Linked DNA regions of Tamandua tetradactyla. The protein of the gene in region 1 interacts with the protein of each later gene in a pairwise test. Links are inferred from orthologs where the notes say so. Each region holds a gene or a part of one and is shown in the gene's direction. Other genes may lie near its edges.

What was found.
Region 2: the proteins of CDC42 (region 1) and PAK3 interact in a two-hybrid assay, tested with the Homo sapiens proteins (2 studies listed by BioGRID and IntAct). The link is inferred for Tamandua tetradactyla from reciprocal best matches to the Homo sapiens genes CDC42 and PAK3.

Annotation. Positions count from the first base shown.
Region 1 is NC_135328.1:204,406,165-204,413,964, reverse strand, and holds the start of CDC42 (cell division control protein 42 homolog), read left to right. Parts: upstream 1-4,759; 5' UTR 4,760-4,894; intron 4,895-7,800. UniProt on the Homo sapiens protein: Plasma membrane-associated small GTPase which cycles between an active GTP-bound and an inactive GDP-bound state. In active state binds to a variety of effector proteins to regulate cellular responses. Involved in epithelial cell polarization processes.
Region 2 is NC_135353.1:59,218,393-59,225,780, reverse strand, and holds the start of PAK3 (serine/threonine-protein kinase PAK 3), read left to right. Parts: upstream 1-4,301; 5' UTR 4,302-4,385; intron 4,386-5,455; 5' UTR 5,456-5,559; intron 5,560-7,388. UniProt on the Homo sapiens protein: Serine/threonine protein kinase that plays a role in a variety of different signaling pathways including cytoskeleton regulation, cell migration, or cell cycle regulation.

The DNA of each region.
Region 1 (7,800 bases):
TTATCTTCTTTTGAAAGAAGGAAAAATCAAGACATTTACAGATAAAGAAAAATTAAGAGTTCTTTACCAGAAGACCTTTCCTACAAGAAATGCTAAAAGTAGTCATTCAGGATGAAATAAAACTGTAACTTGAAGTCATAAGAAGAAATAAAGAACAGAGGTAAAAGTAACTACATTGGTAAATGTAAAATCCTGTATTATTGTACTTTGGGTTTATAACTGCTTCCCCTTCTACCCATTTGTCTTAACAGGCAAATGTGTAAAATAACATTTTGAATCTATTTTAATGGGAATATAATGTATAGAGGTGTAATCTAAGATAATAACATAAAGGAGAGGGACAGAGATATATGGGAGTAGAGAGTTTATACACTACTGAAACTAGATTAGTACTAGTTAAACTAGGTTGTTATTAGTTTAAGGTATTAATTGGATTTATAAAGGTAACTACTGAGAAAAATAACTGAAAAATAGAGACAAAAAGGAAAGAAGAAGGCAATCAAAACAGTACACTAGAAAAAAAAAGCAACTAAAAACAAAAAGGGGGGCAGCAATGGACTAATTACAATGGATTATTAGATTTTACACCAAAAGCACAAGCAAAAAAAAAGTAAGAAATAGAAAAAAAGGAAATGGATTTCATCAAAATTAGAAACTTTTGTGCATCAAAGGATGTTATTATACAAATGAAAAGACGGTCTAGATGTGAGGGAATATTTGGAAACCACGTATCTGATAAGGGTTTACATCCAAAATATATAAAAAAACTCTTTTTCAACTCAAAAACAAAAAGATAAACCAATTAAAAAATAGGCCCAAGGATTTGAATAGACATTTCTCCAAAGAAGATGCAAATGGTCTATAAGTATTTGAAAGGTGCTCAATGTCATTAAAGAAATGCAAATTAAAATGATGAGATACCACTTCTCACCCACTAGGTGGCTATTATTAAAAAGTTGAAACTAAGCATTGGCAAAAACGCAGATAAATAAGAACCCTAATTCATTGCTTGTGGGAATGTAAAATGGTACATCCACTGTGGAAAGCAGCTTGTTTTTACTTCAGATAGTTAAATATAGAATTACCATATGACCTGGCAATTTTACTCCTAGGTATATACCCTAAAGAATTGAAAACAGGAACTCAGATAGATATTTGTACAATGTCCACTGCAGCATTCACAATAGCCAAAAGGCGGAAGCAACCCAAGTGTCCATCAACAGATGAATGGATTAAAAAAATGAGGTGTATCCATAAACTTGAATATTACGCAGCCATAAAAAGAAGTGAAGTGCTGGTACATGCTACAACTGGATGAACCTTGAAGACATCATATTGAGTGAAATAAGCCAGACACAAAAGGACACATATTGTATGACTGCTCTTGCATGAAATACTTAGAATAAACAAATTCACAGAGTCAGAAAACAGAATAGAGGTTACTGGGTGGGGGGACAGGGGGGATGGGGAGTTATTGCTAAATGAGTATGAGTTTTGGTTGTAGATGACGAAAAAAGTCTGGTAATAGTGGTGAAGGTTACACATTATTGTCAATGTATTTAGTGTCAAATAAATTTCTACTTAAAATGATTTACTTTTAGGTAATGTGTATGTATTAGCTAGGGTTCTTTAGAGAAACAGAAAAAGCAGGAGATAACTGTAAATATAAAATTTATAAAAGCGTCTCATGTAACTGCAGGGATGTAGAGTCTAAGGTCTGTAGGGCAGGCCGAGAGCTGGCAGCTTCAATGAAGGTCCTTAATGAACTCTCAGGAGAGGCTGGCTGGCTGAAGCAGAAGGGGATTGTCTCTTCTGAATCCTCCTTAAAAGCCTTCTGGTGATTAGATTATGCATCGCTCAATGCAAAAGACACTCCCCTTTCCAATCAGCTGTGGATGCTGCCAACGTGGTCATGATTTAAGTCCATGAAATGTCCTCAAAGCAACAGGAAGGCCAGTGCTTGTTCGACTGGACAACTGGGTACCACCACCTGGCCAAGTTGACACATGAACCTGACCATGACAGTGTATTTTACCTCAATTAAAAAAAAAATAAATTATTTAAAACAATGAGAAAGGATCAGTGTTGCCGTGCTCTATTTTTAATCACATGATATCAATAATTTAGTTCTTATTTTATAAGTGTCAATAATTTCTTTTTTAATCTTAAAACATCATCTATTTCATTCCCTTTTCTTTGTCAAAACATTAATACTGATCACATTTTAGAAACTTCCATTTTGGGAACAGATTTTTAACAAGTCGTGCACACTTTCACCTCTTTAACGCAACTACTTTGTCATTTTGACTGAGCACCTAGTGGTATATTGTGACAAGTGTGGGGCCAGGAAAATGGCCCACACACAGACTAGGCCCTTATGGAGCCCATGATCCAGTTGGAATGCCAACAGGGGCACCCAAGTAGTGACCTACTATGCCAATGTGGTTCAGTGTGACTGAAGCACCAAGGGACTCATACCCAACATGAATCTGTCAAACCTTCTGCTGATTAAGACCAAGGACATAGTGCCAAGAAACCTTGCTCTCTAAAATCAGAGACTGTCAGAAAAGCTGCTGTTTGAAATCATGTTGATGAGAATGGAATGTTCCAGTCTTGCCTGGTGGGTCTGAACCAGATTTGACACCGAAACTGGGTTTCCAGTTCAGGTGCACAGCTTCAGATAAGTGGGTTTGGGATGCAACAGTCTATATTTATCTTAACTTTGTGGTACCCAAGGAAACCGAACCTTGAGTCTGGCTTCTCAGGCTAAGGCAGAGGTTAACCCTTTTCAGAGCTGGTTTGCTTTAAGTTTATCAATAGTGCTTCATTTCATTTTTACCTAAAATTCACCCTTCCCCCAAAATCCAATGATAATACTGTTTTGTTTTATTGCTTTGTTTTTGTTTTTGCTTTATTTTGTGAAACATCCCAGGATTCCTGTGGTGTGCTGTCTCTCTCAAGCTGCATCCAGTTAGTAGACCTATCTTTGTCAAACTACAGGTGTGTCCCTGGTGGTCTTTATCAGGTTGACTTTATCACAAAATTCAGGACTTGTTTTCATTCATTCACTCATTCATTCAACAAATTCAGCATGTTCTCAATTTTAGGTGCTAGGGACATGGTGGCTATAAGAAGACAAAGTCCTTGACCTTGTGTACTCTGTTTATAGTAGATGAAATAGAAAATAAACAGGTAATCACAAAAGCAGTATAACAAGGTAGAAAGGGAACGGAGGGGTGCCTTTAGAATGGGCAGGTGAGTATCAAAGGCTGCTCTCTGAGGAGGCAACACTTGAGTTGGAACCTGGATGCAGAGGTCTTAGGAAATGGCATTGCAAGCAGAGAACAGCAACAGAGTGAAGTTGAGCTTGTTGTGTTCTCAAAATAACAAGAATGCCAGTGTGCCCAGAGCAGAATGAACAGGAGAGTGGGGAAAGACAAGAGGGATGAGGTAAAGTAAAAAGTTTGACTTTTACCCTGAATAGTACAATAATCTTGTGTACAACATATACAATTCAATAGAAATTTATAAACCTGTAAAATTGGAGGTGACCAGGGGCCTAATCCCCAGCCCCCTAGTTTTATGAAGCATTCTCCGAGGAACCTTAGCATGTCTGGGACAGTTGGAAGCTACTGATCTAGTCCAATCCTCTGATTTCACGAATGCGGACACCAAGGCTGAGAGAGGAGGTGAAAGGTGGAAATATAATTGTAGGAGTGATGGGGGAAGGGCCCACCAGCATCCTGTTCCTAGACCACCAGCTAGAATTCCTGGCCCTCCAGGAATTTAAAGACCAGTAGGGCAGAGTAGACAAAGGGTACATCTTCTCTGCTCCAGGGACATTGGCTCTGGGCTGATAGCCCAGCAAAGCGGCTTGGGTTCTTCTCCTAATCTCTGAGTCCAACCCATTCGGATAGACTGTTGGAAGGAGAGTGGGTTGACCTCCGAGTGCCTATCCCTAACAGTCATGTTCCTTTTTCTTCAGGGTCAACAGTGAAGTGAATGGTGGTGAAGTCGGGTTGCATCCCTATGCTTGGTTTTTACACTATGCCACTTGTTAAGACTCAGACTCGGACTCAAACCAAGACTCAAATCCAGTCAGTACATTCAAAGCTTCAGTTCTTAACCGTCAGGCTACACTGCACCGTCTGATGGCAATTGGAAAGCGCAGGGGAAGAGGAACATAGAGTTAAGATTTAGCCTCCCCCACACATAGGGTCTCTCCCTGGACAGACTGTGTCAAACTCCGACGGGTACATATTCACTGTTCTGGGTACAATGAATTAGGTCCTCCTTAATAGACCATGCCCACTGTGGCTATCTGGAGTGATTTCACCGGGTTCCTGAGAGGACGGTTGCCTCCAAACAGCATCCGTTCATCTATTTCGGTTTCATTCCTTTGGGTGATGTGCAGACTTAAGGGTGTAACCTTAAGATGGGACAGACTCCGGCACCAACAAATTCCTAGACTATTTCAATTCCTGTTTCAACCTCTTTCCATTTGCAGTTGGGTAAACTGCGGCTCAGAAAGAGAGAGAACTTCCTCAAAGCGAAAAATCTGCTCAGGCTATACCCAAGATTCCGCACAGTAGGAAGAAGGACTGAGGAACGCAAGACAGCACCAGCCAAAGACCACTAAAGGCTATTAAGATCACAAGGCTGGGAAGCAAGGCCGAAACCAAGAGAGCTCGCACACGCCTCCCACCGGTGCTGACCGATTCCCCTTCCACGCCCAACTTCCGGGCAGGGAGGCGTGGTTTCCGGTTCCGGCGGTGCGCTACAAAGCTCTGCACCCGAGAGGTGTTCCTTTTCCGGAGTCAGGTGCGGGGTTCGAGTTTTTTCTCGGTACTCCGCATCCTCCTGCTCACCGCCTTTCGTGGTGGCACCTGCGCAGGTGAACGTTTCCCTTGTCCCCCGCTTCCGCGCCTTGGCGCTCGTTGGGAGTAGGCGGCTCAGGCTTGGCGGCTGTGGGAACGGGGAGACCCTGGCCGTGGGGCCTGCGGGCTCCTTGGCCTGACATGGCCTTGAATCTCACTTCAGCGCCAAGAGGTGCATATTCCAGTTCTCGAGCCCCGGAAGTCCCATTTTCCGGCCCTTCCTAGGACCCCTGAGCCACGCCTGTCTGGTGGGAGGAGTCGGCCTCAGCTCTTGGTCCTAACTCCCGGTATTCCTTTACTCGGTTGACTGGCTCCCTATCTCGCAGCCTTGTGACCTTGTGCAGGTCCTCTCTTTCCGAGCCTTAGTTTACTTATTCATGAACGAAAATGACAGTACTTATCCTGGTAGGTTATCGGGAGGATTGGCTGAGGGAAAACTGCGAGGTGTCTGACCCGTAAAATTAAATCGTAGCAACAGCTGCTGCTGTTAACGGGCACGACTGGGTCAGTAGAAAGTCGTATCGAGCGTTTAGCCTGAGTGTGGCTGAGTGTAAAACGTTGAGCAGTGTCAGGTGGGCAGTGAATGCTCAGTAAATTGAGGTTGTTACATGGTGGGCGTAAGCTTTATATTTGGTAGGTGATCTTCGAAAAGTGATAGGATGTATAAACCTGGGTAAATTGTGGAACTGGTCCATCTTTCAGAGCAAACCTTGAGCACTGGCACAGTGGCAATTGAGTCTATTCTTTGAAACTGGGGTTATAAAAGTATCTGGTTTTAGAAACTAGAGCAGTTAACGAAAGTGTGGTTCCTGGGTCTGTTAGCGATTTCCACTCTGAAAGGTTGTGGGCAGAGGGAAATGCCTTAGAAGTTTTCCTCTTGAGTTGTCCTGAAAGTAATGCTAGTTTGTAGTGGAAAAAAACATACAGAAAGATATAAAATGAAATATATCACACTCTTACTGTTCCTGCCGCTCAGAAGTAAATGCAATTAATTTCTTGGATATTCTTGCAGGCATTGTTTGTAAATGTATCAAGTCATACGTGCTTATGTGTATGTATTTTTAATTTCCTCAGATGAGATCATACTTATCAGCGCACATAGTCCTACTTTTTTCTTTACAAGGCTGTACAATATTCCATTGAATGGTTAAACCATATATATAAATAATAATAAATAAATAATAAATAATGATAAAATGATAAATGATATTTTATCATTTCCCTGCTGATGGTCATTTAGGTTGTTCCCAAGGTTTTACTTTCCCACAATGTTTCATCTGACCTTTCTCTGACAGTATTTCCATTTTATCCAAGGCATTCCTGTTTTTTTGTCCTTATCACTCTAGGTTAGTGTCCACTTACTGTTGGGGATGAACACACCCTATTGACTGAGCAGGTATCCAGGTAGAAATATAAGAAGAAATGGTGTACTCCAAGAATGTCCAAACTACAGGATCTAGGATCAAATTATGGCTCCTAGGAAATGGAGCCAGGGAACCTTAGCAAGGAGATGGCTAGGTACACAGAACTAGTGCAGACAGTTTATGTTAGCAATTGTTGACCTCTCTTGTCATTAGTTGCTAAGGAAACAGATTGAAAGAATCTCAATTGGGAGAGATTTTAAATGTCAATATTCTTGTGAGGTAGATTAAGGAGAGATTAGTTCTTTGGGTAGAAACTGGGGAGAGTGTTACTGAAAAAAGAGATGATCCTCAGGGATTAAAAAAGAGACTACATCACATCATAGGGATTAGACTTTTTGATATGGTGAGAATGTACTTAGTAGGACATACCCTGAATGTGAAGTAGATTAGTCATTTCTGTCATTTGAAGAAACAGGTGATATTTTTATTTTTTAGGTAGTCTTCTAAAATTTTATTTAACTAATACTAGGGTGTGATTTTCTGTAAATAACCCTTCTTTTGGATTCTGGATCCATAATCAAATGAAGCAAAGTTTTTTTTGTTTTTTTTTTTCCTGGAGTGGTTTATATTGCTCCCCTTCTTTTCTTCCACTGTAGCTAGTATCATAATCCTTTGTTACTCAGAAGAGCTGCTGTCTGAGAATCGAAACAGTTGAGAGTCAACACTACTAGATTCTGAAAGGTTCCTGTATACTGAATGGAGGAGCTTTTCATCTTGATATTAACAGGCATTTTCTTTTTTTTTTGAACCTTAGGTTCCACCTTTGTGATAGCTTCTAAAGTGGTACCTTTTACACTTGTTGAAAGATATAGGGAGAGGTAGAAAAGACAGAGGCTTAGAAGTAAATGAACAGATTTTTTCTTCTCTATTTCAGTGCTTTGTAAATTGCTTTGTGTCCCAAATCATGTTCATATATCTTCTTTTTGTTTGAACATAATGTGAAGTACTTCATAATGGAAAAAAATGGATGAAATTGAAATTCTTCAGTTAGCAAGGCCAGTGTTCATTGTTTCTGTTTTGGGAATCTACCTTTTCCATTTTGGTAAACCACTGACACATTTTCTCATTTTCTGAAGCTTTGTTCCAGCAAGAAGAAAACAAAAACGATTTCCAGTAACTTTGAAAAACTCTGTTAAGGTTGGAAGTTGATGGAGCCTGCGTCTGGACAGGATTCAAGAGATCAGGGTGGTTTTATCAGCCTTTGTAGTCTGATTTTGTTGACCCTGATTTATCTCCTTGTGTCTAGGAGACACAGAGTTCCAGATTGGAGACCGAAGCGTACTCAGAGACACAAGGAAATAGGGAACAGGTTGAGAATATTTGAATGAGGTCACTACCAGATGAAATGATGGCTGGAAAGTCAGAAGGAGTCCTAATACCAGCTCCCTTGGTCCAGGTTCCATTAGAGCCTGCTGGGCTCTCACTAGAGAGCCACCAAGAAGGCTCACTTGAGGACCTTGAGTTCATCCACCGAAGGAATCCCCCCAGTCCTGCAGCTT
Region 2 (7,388 bases), on another chromosome or scaffold:
ATCCAAGAGGATGGTAACTTTCTAGCCATAGGCTCCCCTCTTTTCTCAGCCTCTGGTTTATAAAGGACCGAGGATGAAACCTCTTGTCATCTCTAAGGCTCCTTACTCTTTGACCAATGAGCTACCTACAATACTGCCACCATACTACCCATAATGATACGGATGGGAGGCAAGAAGGAAGGGGCCAGAAGGGCTGACTACTTTGATGGTAAACAGGTTGTAGTAAGCAAATCCTGAGTAAACGAGGGAGTGGGCACTGTGCTCACAGCCAAAGCCTTGTGCACCAGCTACTGAGTCAGGTTCTTCTATATTCGGAGCCAGAGGGGAGCTGTGAGGACTTGGAGTCACAGAGGCCCAAGACTACCACAGGAACAATTTCTGGCTGTGGGATTTGAGGGGGGTGGGTGGGAAGGGAGTCAAGAAGTCCCTGCTGCTTTTGCCCAATGGGACATTACTGCCCTGCATTCAGTGCCTGCCAGGTATGGCTCAACTTACCCTAGCCTTTTTTGCCAAACTTGAAACACTGGCCTGGCATTCAGACCCCTTTCAGGATAGCAGACGTAATTTCCTTTTTGTCTTAACCCAATAAGGGCTATATTTTCCCTTCCTATGGTATTTCTTATAAGTAGAAATATGCTTATTGTATAAAAAGCACACACAATACAGAAGTATATAAAGAAAAGATTTAATGTTCACCACCACCACAAAACACACATACCCACATATCCCTTCCTGTTTTTATTCCCAGAGTTTGATGTATATGCTTCCAGCTTAAACACACACATTCACACTTTTTTTCTTAAGAAATAGAAAATCATAGCATACATGTGTTCTACAACTTATTTCACTCAACAATACATCGTGGTATTGTTTCCATTTCTGTATGTAGGGATCTACTTGATTCTTTTTAGTTGATGTATAATTCTCCACACTATGTATATAATACTTAATTAATTATTCCTTTATTGAGGAGTATTTAGGTAGTCCCCAGTTTTTTCATTCTTACATAACAATCAGCAATCGAATTACTTGAACCTAACTTGGCATATTTTTATGAGCATATCCATGGGCAAATTCCTTGGACTCCATTCTCTCATGTACGAGTTAGAATTGCTGGGTCAAGTGGCATTCGCTTTTAAACTTTCATAAATGTTATCAACTTGCCCTTCAAAAAGGTTGTGCCATTTTACAGTCCCATCAATGGTACATGAGTGTGAGCAGTGTTTACTTTATCTGAGATTTGACTGGAACAGCTTGAAGATATTTGTTTTCTTTTATTTCTGTTGCTACAAGCCCTTTCCTAGAGCCCCTCACTTGGAGCCAAGGAAGAACTGCAACTCATGTTGCCATGTAGAGTAGGAGAAAGAATACAGAACTGAGAGTGGGAGACGTGGTTCTTAGGACCATCTCTATGAGATACTGGGCAGGTTACTTCAAACCCCTGGAGCTCCATTCTGTCATCTATGAAATGTGGAGCATAATAGTTGCCATGGTAAAGTGTTGTGATGGTTGTGAGGGTCAGAGGAGATAGATTCAAAAGTGGTTTGTATCCTGAGAAGGAGGATGCACATGCCAAGTCGTTATTATGGTAGTGTTTGCTATTAAACCTTAAATCAATGAGCCTGGGAAAGGGAGCAGGGGACAATGGAAGTTGAGTGAGAAAATAATACAATGAAATCTTTAAAACATTTAAACTTAAAATCCGTTCCCTAAAAGTCCCCATGCTATTGTCCTATACTCTTTTTTATACATTTATTGTTCCCCTGAAGGGGGAGCACCGTTCCTGGAAGTACTGCGATACCAGGTCGATGCGTGGAGTGGACGGAGCAAGCTCTTATTCCATCTCCCAACTCCAAAAATCCATTTAATATCTTGTCCTCAGATACAGATGTATCAGATATTAAACTGATAAGAACAGATACTACACTTCATCTTAGCCAAAAGGCTGAGAAGTGATGTTGTCCTACACTCTTGAAGAACAAACCACATTGTCAGGTAAGGACTACTTTCTGATAAGTCCAGTCCTCTTTCCAGTATGAACTATGCTTTAATTTATTGAGCACCTAATACGCATTTGGCCACATGCTGGTTTCTGTAATCACCCGAGAGGGAAGAAATCCACACATGAAATATTGAAATAACTGTGTGTGGTGACTGCACATACAGCACTGAGTTATAGCTGAGGTATATGTGAGGATTAGAGTAAAATCAGATTAGATAGGAAAATTGAGTTATATCTTTTTATTTCTTAAAAAAGCATTCTTTTTTAAAATAACCCAAATAAATTCACTTTGCAAATAACATATGTGATATTAAGTAAATTATAGTCATTTAAATCAGTGATTTTTTTATAGATTACTTTTACCATAGTGTAAAAAAAATCAATGATTTGCAGTTACGTTTTTTATTAACCCCAATGTTAATTTTAAAAGATATTTGTAAAATCATTGGGAATAGAACCATCCTGATTTCAACCTATTAATCAGGGAATTTAGGGAGAGGGTTTTGGGTATTTTTACATTAGCAAGGGAGTAACCACCACACACACACACACACACACACACACACACACACACACAATGCCTGATTTCATGAAAACACCAGTCTCATATAGTTTGAGTTTTTAAGAAGATATGTATTTTAACAAAGCCAGTAATACCATGTTTAATTCTTTATAAGAGTGTACCATATCATATTAGAAAAAGCGTGGGTTTTGGACTAAGATCTAGATACAAATCCCACCTCTGCTAACTTTCTACGATGTTCATGTAATACTTACCTAAAAATAAATGCAGCCTGGATTATATGTGGTTAACTGAGTCTTCATCTCCCTTTTCCTGTTTTAGCATAGATTTTAAGGGTTATTATTGTTCTTTTTAAATTCCCAGTATCATCCCAAATTAAAGGGAGGCATTCCCTTCCCCAACTGCCTGAGAAATTATCTGTGACGAATCTAGAGGCCTTTTGGGTAACTTTTCCTAAAACAAGTTTGGCAGATATATTAATTCCCCCTCAGTCTTGAAATGTACTTTGTTGGCATCATGGAGGCAATGATTGCTGGATATTATGCAGTGTTGAGAAAATTGGATAAAAGTGCACTGGGGTGGGTCATGACCCATTTTGACAAGTTAAGAATGTGAAGATGTATTTATCTTTATAAAAAAACAAGTTTGAAAGTGAAAAGGGAAAAATCACCTATAATCCTAGTACATTTAACAACTATTATAAATTTTACGTTCTCTTCCAATCTTTTTCAGTGAGCATTTTGAATCATTATAATTTGAATGCACTTATTATTTTGTGTTATTTTTTCATTTTCTTCTGACAACTTACTGTCTCTTTAGTGGGATTTACCATAATTAGCATAATTTAACCAAGTTCTGGGGCACTGGTTTTGGAGTAGCAAGACATGATTTTTGGAGTTTGGTTTTATAAGACTTTGGATACCTGCAAACATTTAAACTTTTTCCTGGACAAGAGAAGCCATTGAAGTTTTCAAGGATAGGAGGGACAGGAAGAAGCATATTTTAGTGAAATTAAAAATATATGTATACTCAATTTGAAGTAGATTAATTATTCTTTGTTTGCATAATGCTGTTTTGAAATGTGGGTGTTTCATGTGTGGAAAGGTAGTTTCCCTATCTATAGTGCCATCTCTTTGAATCATACTGCCATCTATGTCTGTCTGAGTTTTGTATGTACTCCAGAGGCTCAATCAGTGGAACCTGCTTGCCTGACAGGTGGTGTCCCACATAAAAAACATTTTCCCCAATTAAGAGTGGCCTGTAGCTGGACGGATTTCTTCCCCTGAAAATTCACGTGAAATCCTAGTCTTCCTGAGGGGTCAAAGAAGGCTCATTAAACCCTTTTCCCCTCCCTGTGTCAGGTGCTCCTTTTTCTTGATGACCCCACCTCTGTCTAGACAACCCTAACAATGTGGAAGTTTCCATCCCCTTTTCCTTTCTCCTCTCCTTCAGTTTTTTTTCCCCCCTCTCCCCACCGCTTCCTGCCTGGAAACAAAAGATTGGTCCTCGGTAGCCCACTCAGGGCGATTTTAGTTTTATGCTCATCATCTGATTGGTCTATGTAAGGTGCAGAGCCCGGGTAACGTCATAGCGGAGAAAGGCTAGGGAGCGGTTGCCGAGCTGGGGCTCTACTACTGGCGGGGTACTGTCAGGAGCGAACCGTCTGGGATCTCGCGCAGCAGGCTGCAGCTTTTCCGGGCCTGGAGCTAGTGTGTGGGGGCGGGAGAAGAGCCCGGGGCGGGGAGCGGGCCGGGCCCCGGGCTGCGGCTGCGGCCGCGGGGCTGCAGCTCCCCAGCCCCGCCAGCCGGAGCGCTCAGAGGTAAAGGAAAGGTCTTGACGGGGTGGCTGGACCCGTGGCAGGTAAATTTCGCGACTTATGGCCCCCGGGCTAGCTCGGCGGCTGGGAGCTGCTTTTGGGTTGCTAGGCAGATTTTTTGCCTTCCCGGGTCCCCCTCCCGCCACGCCCGAGTCGAGTCTCATTTCTGACTCCCCTGAGCCCCGAGAAAGCGATAGCAGTTTGCATGATTCCGGTAAGCGAGTGCGGACAAGTGGGTGTGTCCGGGCCGTTCCCGAAGGCCTGGAACCCTCCGTATCGTCGGGAAGCCCTAGGCTAGCTTATTGGGCCTGGGCAAAATCCGCCGCGAAAAGCTCTGTCAGCCTGTAAGTGATATTACCGCCCCCCACCCTCTGCAGCTGCAGCAGCGGCAGCCCTCCGGGGAGGGGAGGGGAGGGGGTATGGCCGCGAGTCTGGTTAAGTCAGGGGGCAGAAGAGCCCAACCCAAGCAAACAGAAAAAGTGACGATTTTCTTAACCGGCTCCTTTCCTCCACCCTTTTATTTTTATTTATCCCGCTCCCTTTTTTTGGTTGGGGCCAGGTAAAGTCAGGAGGACTCTTTTCTTCCCTGTGGGGATGGAATGATGCGATAACGCCCCTAGAAAGCCCGGGGCCCGGGGCCCCTCAGTTGGCCTTTGTCTTTGTCTGGGGCCATTAGGACCACTGCCTTCTCCTTTCTTGCCCCCCTCGGCTCCCAGGGGTATTGCCCTCAAGTCTGTGATCTGGCTCTGGCAAGATTCCTGCAGCACTTTTGGGCAGATTGATTGAACATTTTAGATTCTTGTTCTCTCATATTTTTTCCCTTCCATAGGTGATGGTTGGGGTGGGGTGGGGTAATGGGAGATGGGGGTGGGAGGGCTGTTGCAAAGAGTAGGAGTCAGAGCCCCCTCTTGTTTTTCTGGTCCCACCTTCCAGAATCCAGTACCGGACTCTGGACTTGAGGGTTCTGGGCTGTGGTCTGTAGAAGTGAAGGAGAGAAGGGTGAGTGGCTTAGCTTTGGGAAGCCTGATGGGATTGCAGTGCTATTTTTTTTAAAAAATGGCTTTCACAGGGAAGTCCTTAGCCATGTTAGTCTTCCTCCCCCATGGTTTTACAGACTCAAATCCAGGCCAACTGTGTCTGAGGTGTTGGAACAGAAGGAGGTCCATTCCTGTTGGTGACAGCACTGTGGCTCTGTTCTGGGATGATCAAGGTGTAAAGGTCAGTGCAGTTTTCACTGGGCCATTTGCAAAATTATAATCGGGCAGGGTCTTTCATTTTGTACTTGAGATCTCCAATCAGTACAGGGGCAAAGGGGCATAACATGGTAATAGACAATTCATTGTCCCTGACTTAGAGAGAATGCCACTGAAAACCTCTGTTTCTGGACATAAATATCACAACCCTCTCCTCATGAAAGAGGTAAAATGGGAAGAGACTGGGAAATATGCAGGGTAAAAGCCTACAGCAGAGGATCCTGATGCCAGCAGGACGTTGGGATGTCAGGTAGCAGACTCTCCAAGCCTCCATACAGGCAAGTGGGCCTTGTAGAGGAGAGACTTAAGAGAAAAAGGGGGTTCACGTATGACAGTAGTGCAGGCAGAAAGGGTGGAGAATGGAGTGTCTCCACTTGAGGGGCCATAGCATCTTAGGGATGTTCTGACTAGCTAAGCAATCTTACAGGTTGCAGATTTTCTGGTTAAAGGTGGAAATGGTATAGCACAGACAAGCTCGCTGAGGTTTGGGAGGGGCAGTCAATGGGACAGGTGAGGGAAATGAATAATTGTGGGGGGTGGGGAATTGCTGACATGAGACTACACTAGTCAGAGACTAAGCTTCTATGAAGTCAACGGTAAGAAAATCAGATCTAGAAATCAGTTAAGGGCAAAGCCATAGAGAGTTAAAGACAGAAGAATCAAAAACCATCATTTCACCAAGATCCCAAAGGCCCTCATTGTCCTGGTGAGATGGGGGAATACCTTGGCTGAGGCAGTTGTGGTTTAGCCAGGGATTAGAGGGAAGATGTCTTGATACTCAGGAAGGAAATCAATAGCATTCCCTCCCATGAGCCACCTTCAGGAGTCTTTAGCTTTGGCCCAGTGAAGGAGAAGAAACTCAGTTGAGTGTCAGCTCAACAACTGGTTCTTCCCTCCTGGGTGTAAAGAGAGGGGCCTGGGGAACTGAAGCTCCAAAGAGTAGTGGAGGAGCTTCGAATCAGACCGAGACAGGACGGTTGCTTAATTACATGGATGGGTTAGGACTAGGTCTGTGTTTCCCACTCCAGGCAGAAGGGTGCCTGCCTCTGCTCAAAAACAACAAAACCTCTTCCCAGAGACTTTTGGGGGAGGGGACTGCATGTGGGCAGGGGATAGGGCGGGGAAGGGCGTGGAAATTTGTAAGCTATTGAGGCATCTGGGGTGCAGTTTAAATTTCAGCTGCTCTGTTGTCCCTCAGCCTCTCCACCTTTCCAGGAGCTAGGCGTTTTCCCCTGCAGGACGTGGGGTTGACCGGCCTGCCAACTCTGCACTGCCTAGTGTTTCCAGTAGGGGGTGGGAGAGGGCGTGCAGTAGCGCGCAGGGCCGGAGTCTTCCATTTCAAGTGTGAAGCCCGAGCCTCGGGAGTGAATCCAGTAAAAGCCATACTATTAACATCTGATTTAGAGATACCAGAGAACCAAATGAAATCCTTCCTGGGTCTGGCAAACTCTTTCCGGCCAACCGTTTCCGTTTTACCGCAGAAATGCAGCCCTTCCAATTGCTGTCTGCGGCTTTGGAAGGCATTTGCATTTACAGAAGCGTTGATTACGCGAGTCAATAATACATACAAGACTAAACGGGAATTTAATTGGAAATGTTAATCAGTGCAATGGATCCTTGTCTGATTTGCACATTCGGTCAATTCTCTGCAGGTTGGGGCAATCTGCGCTGCACCCAGGGAATGCGATAAAGTGCAAAATGGCGCAGCTACAGCTGGGTCTGGGGCCGGGAAGCAAAATGGAGGAGGTGGACCTTGAAGACTAGAGATTAACAATTTACTGGTGGGGAAAGGAT